2 linked regions of the Arabidopsis thaliana genome follow. The protein of the gene in region 2 interacts with the protein of the main gene of each other region in a pairwise test. Each region holds a gene or a part of one and is shown on either strand. Other genes may lie near its edges. The genes, in order: VP2 and ATRER1C1.

Region 1 (3,924 bases), on a different chromosome or scaffold from region 2:
GAACCTGCAATGCTTCTCTCGCAGATCGTCTGGCAGCACTGGAGACCCGCACATTAGCACGAACTGACACCCACATTCCAACATATCCAGCAATACCTGAGCATAGAGCCCCCAAAAGAAATGCAGCAACAGTAATATAAGCAGACATCGCCCTGCAGCAAAATAGTAATATGGCTAAGCTTCATTCACAACAATTCAAAAGATAAAATAAATCTTGTGAATGTAATCATGTATCAGCACCTTCCTAAACCAGCAGCCTCTTGCTGGGGAGTTAAGCTACGGAATAGATATATGCAAAGAATCACAAAAGCTAGCAAAATGGCCATCTTGGATATAGTGCTATACTGCGTTCTGAAAAAACCTTCAGCTCCATCACGTATAGCATCTGATATCTATAAGTAAGAGAATTACCTCACAAATTAGAATTACAAATTTTTGATGAGAACAAAGAAGGAAAAATGTCAACATCATGACTAACACCACATAATCTGAGTGAGCTTACCTCAACCATCTCTGGAGGTCCTTCATCTTTCGCTAAAACCCACTTGGTTAGATATATTGACAAAAGGAAGCTGATGATGCATACTGTGAAGACGAACACGATGATGGGAGAAGTACTTGCCCCCATGTAAAAGATTGCTCCGAAGCAGAAAAGCAGAATTATCGAAAGGACACGGACATTTAATTTCCTAATAATCCGGAATATCTGCCAAAAAACAACTAAACTTTATACAATTTCAAAGAAAATGAAAACGAGATGCTCAAGAAACTAAGATGCTAAACGAAATAGAAGGAAACTAGTTATAATACGCATCTCAGTGATCTGATGCAAGCAAAAAGAAAAGCACTCAAGAAAGAGAGGAATAAAAGTTGTACCAGTGGACTATAGGTTTTACTACGCATGTTGGGAAAAGCCCTAGGCCTGTCATTGAAAGACATCAAACTGGCCTGCTCAACATCTTCATCCATCATCATGTTTTGAGCTGAATTAGCCCTTCGGACTATGTGTAGAGGCGTAAAGTCAATGCTATGGGGCAACTCCGCCCCAGAACTCGGACGCTGAATTTTAATACACTACAACTTTTTCCTCCAAACGTTAACAACAGCACATCACAAAACGAGCACAAGTTAGTATGAACCCTCTTAACTCTAGCTATATCTTTGATTCCAGCTTCTTCAAACTTTCTCAGTAGAGTTGCCACAACAAGTTTCCACCACAATCAAAATTTCTGAAAAAAATAGAAAAGTATGAAAAGTTGTGATGTTTCTCTTTACCAACCAAATAGCATTTTTAAATGAAATATAATCAGAGTAAGGTTCTACAGTAAAGTTTAGCTATAACTTTCATCATTTCCCATGAGCGTAATTGCTTCTACGATCAATTCCCCAGAAAAGTGCGATTAACAAACAGACCTCAAGATCTAATCGACTAAGATTTCAGTGAATAAAACGCAAGGGACTTTGCATTCCGAGTTTAATGAATCAAGCACCGTTACTTTAATTTAGATCTGAGTTCTGTTCTAAGAGAAATTCACATGATCTCTAGACAGGAAATGGATACGTTTCCAGAAACGAATCCAACGAAAAAAAAAAAGCATACGAAGAGTTTATCCGGAAACAAACCCTAAAAATCGGTAAAACAGAGAAGATGACGGCTCCGGTGAGAGTGATCAGAAGGAAACCGCCATTAGCGAAAGCTTGTTGTAGCCGAAGAAGCGCTCTATCCTCTCGCTGTCTCCGTTCTAAATCCGAAGACTTTTCACAGAACTTTCCGAATATTTTTTTCCTAAATTAATTTTTCTACCTTTAATTTTATTTTCACTCCTCAGTGGTTCAATACTAATTTTATGACACATCCTATCCAATGAGTCGTTGACACTTAATCACTATTCTCACTTAAAAAGTTAAAAACTTAAAATCATCCTCGTTTGTTAAATTATATAGATCGAGTTAAATTATCAAAAATACCCATCAATTTTGGAATATTAACATTTGAATATTATATGGGCCTAGCCCAAAATTATGTTTTGCCATTCGGCCCATATAATAGACAATCTGCAAAGTGAAGAAGAAGAAGAACCACTAACGTTATCTTACCGGCCCGATCACGGAGCTCACCTTTCATCGTCAATCTCCGGCGGACGAATTTCTCTTCGTAGCCGTTACTTCTCATTATTTCTTTGAAACTTTCTTAGAAAATTCTCTGTTTTGGTTAGGACAATACAAACAGAGGATGTTGATGACACTAGCGGCGACGACCTCCGTTTCATTTAACTCGAAGCTTCTCCTATTTCGAATACGTTGCTCGGATTCTAACCCTAAGCGTGGCTTCGGCTCAAAAAAGGTTTGATTCCAAATTCTTCTTTGTTCAACTTAATTTTGTTGATTCAAAGTACTGAGACAAAAATGTGAAATCGCATCACAGGAAGAGAAAGACCCGGCATTGCAGCAAAGGTATAAATAGTTTTTGTGTTTGTTTAAAGCATTTAGAATTTTAAATTGCTGTTGTTATATTTTCATATGGACTTCTTTGCTGCAGGAAATCATCTTCTAAACAGTCTGTTTCTGTACCCAGAAGTAAGTATAATTTGATTTTAAAGCATATTGTACGTAACAGATGTTGCTGCTCTCCTTCATGGTGTCTCGAACATAACTTCATTTTTGCATTCTTCAGTTTATCTCAAAAAGTTGGTTTCAATTGAAAGGTTTGCTCAAGAAACTCCTGCATTTGTTTGCAGAGGCACCTGGTCTGAATACTCAGTTTGAAGGAAAATCTGGTCGATCTTTTGATATAGACTTCGATGAACGGCTGGAAAACATCAGAAGGTACCTATGTTTTATGATTCTAGCATGAAGATTGGCTTTAGAGATATATAGGTTACAATAGGATTATTCCTCTGACAATCACACTTGACTTTCTCATTATACCCACAACGACATGATCTTCCTATGAAAGTTTGATTCTTTTTTTTTCTTGATTTGTTCATCACTTGTCTTGCTTTCCACTTCCCTCACCCCCTAGACATAGTCAAGATCATTGTCCTCCCACTGATCGGAATGTTATTTCTGTGACCTCTGCTCTTTTGATGAATCAGGTCAGCTCTTGAGCAGAAAAAGACAGAAGTAGTTAAAGAATTTGGTCCAATTGACTATGATGCACCAGTCAAGTCTGACCAGAAAACAATTGGTCTTGGTACTAAGGTACGCATACATAACATCTTGCAAGTGTTTATTTTTTATTTTGTTCTAAAACCACTTGAGGCCTATAAGCTACTCATACATAACATGACAAAACTTGGGCCCATGCCATGACAGGTTGGAGTTGGCATAGCTGTTGTTGTATTTGGTTTGGTTTTTGCTCTTGGTGACTTTCTTCCCACGGGAAGGTGCGTTAAGTGAAGTCCAAGTCATAACTGTGTCATTTACACCATGTTACTGTTTGTCATTTTCCTTCTTTTTATTCCAGTTTGTAATTGTTTGTGTAAAGATTCTGATGACATCATATGTTCTTAGGATCAGCTGGGTTGGTTTCCGTAATTTCACATTTTTGTCATACCAAGTCATGTTGTCATGTAATTTAGCCGGTGTCAGTTCTAACAATGTTTTTACCACTTTTCAGTGATAGTCCAACTAAGAACACAACAGTAGTTAAAAATCAAATTTCAGAAGAAGAGAAAGCCACGCTTCAGGTAATATTAGGGGCTGATCATGAAGATTTCGTTCATGAACTTTGATAATCTGAATAAAGTAAGATACGTAGTAAACATCTCGATTTTTTTTCATTTTGCAGCAAAGGCTCAAAGAGTTTGAAACAACTCTCAATGGCACGCCTCAGGATCAAGCTGCTCTGGAGGTGAGTGATAACATGCGCATGTTGTGCATACTATTAAATATCTTCTTCATCGGCATTTAGCCATTCATCTG
Region 2 (3,924 bases):
AACTAGGACACAATCCATGAACATCGATAGAACCGGACAGTGATTACTGATTAGTCTTTAGTTTTCCACCATGATGATTACAAAAGGGTCAAGTATGAAACATTATTTTCTCACTGAAAAAAGGATGTAAAAAAATAAGATTGTACATTGAGTTCAGGTGAAACCAGTAAAATAGTCAGGATGATAAAAGAGCAAAATATGTCTATCTCTACTTCATCCCTAACAAAGATATAGGCCATCAAAAGAGAACAAAAGACCGACCTTTTCAAATGCTACTTCTCTCAAAAGACTGTAAAATTGCTGACCTGAACAGTTTTGATTGATCATTCACTGCTCTCTGTTGGAGCCGGTTTCTTTCCATACTGCTGCAAGGGAAAAACAAACCGAGGATGAAGTTAGAAAACTTACTCAACTTGTTCAGACGTTAGAGTCAGTTCTGTGAAGGAAGGAAAGAAAAAGAAACACACACCTTTTTCCCAAAAGAGAAAGGGACATATCTGTATTTGATCATATGCTGTATCTGTTTCCTCATCGTAAGGAAAAACAACATCACCCAGTAGAAGAGAAGTATTGGCCAGAATACAGGTACATCAAACACCTCGAAGAACGTCATCATAAATCCGATGATGAAAGCCCTTATGATCGATAACCTTCATGGCAAAAAACACACACACAACATTCCACATCAAAAAATCCAAAGGACATCAAATCGAGACTTCATCACATTCTAGATTGATAAACCTAAAAAGAATTCATACAAAGGCTTCACAAAGTGAATCTTGTCGATCTCTTCTAAATTTGGTTCTAAATCTTGCTAAAAATGTAGTTTCTCTGCAGAATTGAATCAATCTAGCTACATCAAAGTCCACAATAATTGAATTCCTCAACAAGTAAGTCATCAAACATCATTATCAATCATCTGATCTAACGATTCAGTCATGAATTCATCTGCAATCAAACCAATAACGCTACTAAAACCCTAGATCAGATCTACGTAATCTAACTATATCAAAGTCTACAATAGTTGAATTCCTTAACAAGTAAGTCATCAAGCTTCGTCATCCTCTCAAGTCTCAATCGATAAAGTGAATCAAACCAATAACGCTATGCTCAATTTCACTACTAAAACCCTATATCAGATCTAACAAAATCAATAATACAGAATCAAAGAGACGAACCAGAATTTGAACTCAGGGAGACGGCGAACGAAAGGACGATACTCATCGGATCTCCGAGTAGGAAGAGAACCACCGGAAGTGAGAGAAGCTTCGGGATCTTCTTGAGGAGATAGAAAAGCAATGATGAGATTCAAAAGGTAGATGCCGATGGCGTAAGTGATGATGTAGAAGCCTTCCACAAAGTAAACACGAACGATGTAGATCAATACAACACAGAGACATGCGATCCATCGATAGAGAACGTGAGGAACCGTTTTGTCGAGAAGATGTTGTTGTCGCTGCGAAAAGGCGTGGATCAATCGGTTAACGGCGTCGGCGGGAGATGATGAGTCGCTTGATTGGAGATTATCATCGGTGGCGGTGGCGGTGGTGGCGGCGGCTGCCGGAGGTACAACAGCCGTTGCTGCGGATTCCATCGGTGGATACTCTCTCTGTGTCTCTTTGGTTTGATCTCTCTCTCTACCTCGGAAAATGCGACGGAGGAGACGGAGATTCGTAGATTTGGATTTGGGACTTTTTGGGAGATCAGATCAGATCATATCCGGTTTACGGAAGATCTACTATTTACTATCCGAACCGGTTGAAATTATACGATCAATCTATCGGTTTACTTGCGGGTTTAGTGGTTCAGAAATTATTAAACGATTTATATGATTGGTCTACTGGTTGAAAATATAGTATAACACATTAACTTATGTTTGAAGATTTAAGTATATGGGAGCCAACTCCAAGTCTCCAACACAAACCGAACTTACACTAAATTAAACAAAAAACGATTACAAACCAAGCTAACCTAGTGGTAGTATCCTAAAGAATCATATATAAAAACTCAAGTGGACAAACAACAAGAAAGAACAATTTGCATCATGTGTATATACTTTGGCCATAGAGAAACGCTTAGAGACTAGAGTTAGTGTAAGATCAAACGTTAATAGTGTCCGTAATGGTACGATGGACTCTTAGCCGATGAGCTAATAGGATATCTTTCAAACACTACTAACGCCTCTTTCATGGTCGGTCTCTTTTGTGGAATTTGAGATGCACAACTATATCCCAATTTGAAAAGGCCAAGTAAAAAGTCCTCTTTGCCTTCCAATTCGGAGCGGATCGCTACATCAGCCATTATTAGCGCCCGGTTCCCGTCCTCTACGGTCAGCCCATTTCCTACCCCCACCTCGTCTATCGACACTATTTTTCCCGTGAGCAGCTCGAGGAGGATCACTCCAAACCCAAACACATCCCATTTCGGGTTTGGTTTGAGATTGCGGAGCGACTCGGGTGCGCAATAGGGAGATATGGGCCCAACGGAGCTTGGACTTGGGCTCGGTGTGGGCCCGATGGTACCAAATTCACGCGAGGATGCTGTCAATCGCTTGCTACTGAAAATCCGAGATGATCCACTAGCTCGGTTATAGCTAGTATCCCCGGCGAGAAGCCTTTCGAGCCCGAAATCTCCGATCTTGGGCTCCATATCTTGGCCCAAGAGTATGTTACTAGGCTTCAAGTTACCGTGCACATGTTTCTTGTCGTGGAGGTAAGCAAGCCCACGAGCCAAACCTTTTACTATCTTGAGCCGAGTCTCCCACGGTAAATGGCACGGCGAAGACCCTCCTTTCCCTGTCCAATAGCACAAAGAATCAAAATTTGACCAGCCGTTGACTTTATTAATACAGGTGTAATTTAACTACTACCAACTAATATGAACACAGTAGCAAAACCCTGGTGATGCTAGCGTGCGACTTGATCTTATGCTAACATGTGCCTTTATCATAAAGCGAGGAAAAAGATTGAAATGTGAAAGAGATGATTTTGACTCACTGTAACGGGCGTTGACGAGACTGCCGTTAGGAACAAAATCGTAAATGACCAATTTCTCGTCGGTGCCCCAATAGAATCCACGAAGACGTACCAAATTCGGGTGAACCAATTTACCAATAGCTCGAATATGTGCCTCAAAGTCTTTAAACCGGCGTTGTTGACTCAAACCATTCTCACCTAACCGACGAACCGCGAGAACCGTACCGTCCTCAAGAACAGTCTTGTACATTATACTCGAACCAGTGGCTCCTAAAATGTAAGCAGAAGCCTTAAGCAAAGTTTCAACTTCAAGCTCTTTCTCTCCTCCATCAATGGTTACTAAAGTCCCTTTCTTATTCTCTCCAATCTCTCCTGACCGTTGATTTTCTTCGTCTTCTTCTTCGGTTTCATCGGTTTCTTGATTCTTACGGAGACATGACCATTTTGCAAATCTGCTTGATTGTTCTGGAGATGAAGAAGATGTAGTTGTTGATGATGATGGTGATAACGAAGTTGTGTCTTTAGCTTCATGAGCTTCTAGGCTATGATTGTTCTTCTTCTCCACTGTCTTGTTGTTTTTGTATTTATAAACGTAGAAGAAGATAAGAGCGAGGATTCCGATTCCGGCGATATCTCCGACTATGATTCCGATTATAACTCCTGGTCTTAACCCGGTTCGAGGATTTGAGTTGTTGTTCGGTTCGGTTTCTCGATTAGACCCGATTGATTTAGGTATAGCTGCGAGTGCAGGTGTAGAGGTTGGTGGCGAGACGGTGGCCGGAGATGAAGGAATGGGACACGGGTTTCGGGTCGGACCTCCGCATAAACCCGGGTTTCCGGAAAACGAAATTGATTTCTGGTTAAGGTAAACCGGAGAATCTGGGATTGAACCGGTTAAATTGTTGAAGGAGAAATCAACGGTGGCGTTTTGAGGAAAACCGGCACCAAC

The links.
Region 1: the proteins of ATRER1C1 (region 2) and VP2 interact in a protein complementation assay, tested with the Arabidopsis thaliana proteins (one large-scale study listed by BioGRID).

Annotation. Positions count from the first base shown.
Region 1 is NC_003070.9:29,669,391-29,673,314, reverse strand, and holds the start of VP2 (vacuolar H+-pyrophosphatase 2), read right to left. Parts: upstream 1,821-3,924; 5' UTR 1,624-1,820; intron 1,536-1,623; exon of another isoform or gene 1,324-1,535; intron 1,230-1,323; 5' UTR 976-1,229; coding exon 877-975; intron 707-876; coding exon 503-706; intron 393-502; coding exon 241-392; intron 153-240; coding exon 5-152; intron 1-4. Other genes in the region: AT1G78915 (Tetratricopeptide repeat (TPR)-like superfamily protein), read left to right, coding at 2,234-2,344, 2,426-2,454, 2,540-2,577, 2,739-2,826, 3,096-3,201, 3,316-3,395, 3,514-3,564, 3,620-3,689 and 1 more. UniProt on the Arabidopsis thaliana protein: Pyrophosphatase active in both inorganic pyrophosphate hydrolysis and H(+) translocation.
Region 2 is NC_003071.7:9,915,313-9,919,236, reverse strand, and holds the start of ATRER1C1 (Rer1 family protein), read right to left. Parts: upstream 1,795-3,924; 5' UTR 1,595-1,794; coding exon 1,179-1,594; intron 651-1,178; coding exon 470-650; intron 366-469; coding exon 324-365; 3' UTR 1-323. Other genes in the region: AT2G23300 (Leucine-rich repeat protein kinase family protein), read right to left, coding at 2,107-2,795, 2,997-3,924. UniProt on the Arabidopsis thaliana protein: Involved in the retrieval of endoplasmic reticulum membrane proteins from the early Golgi compartment.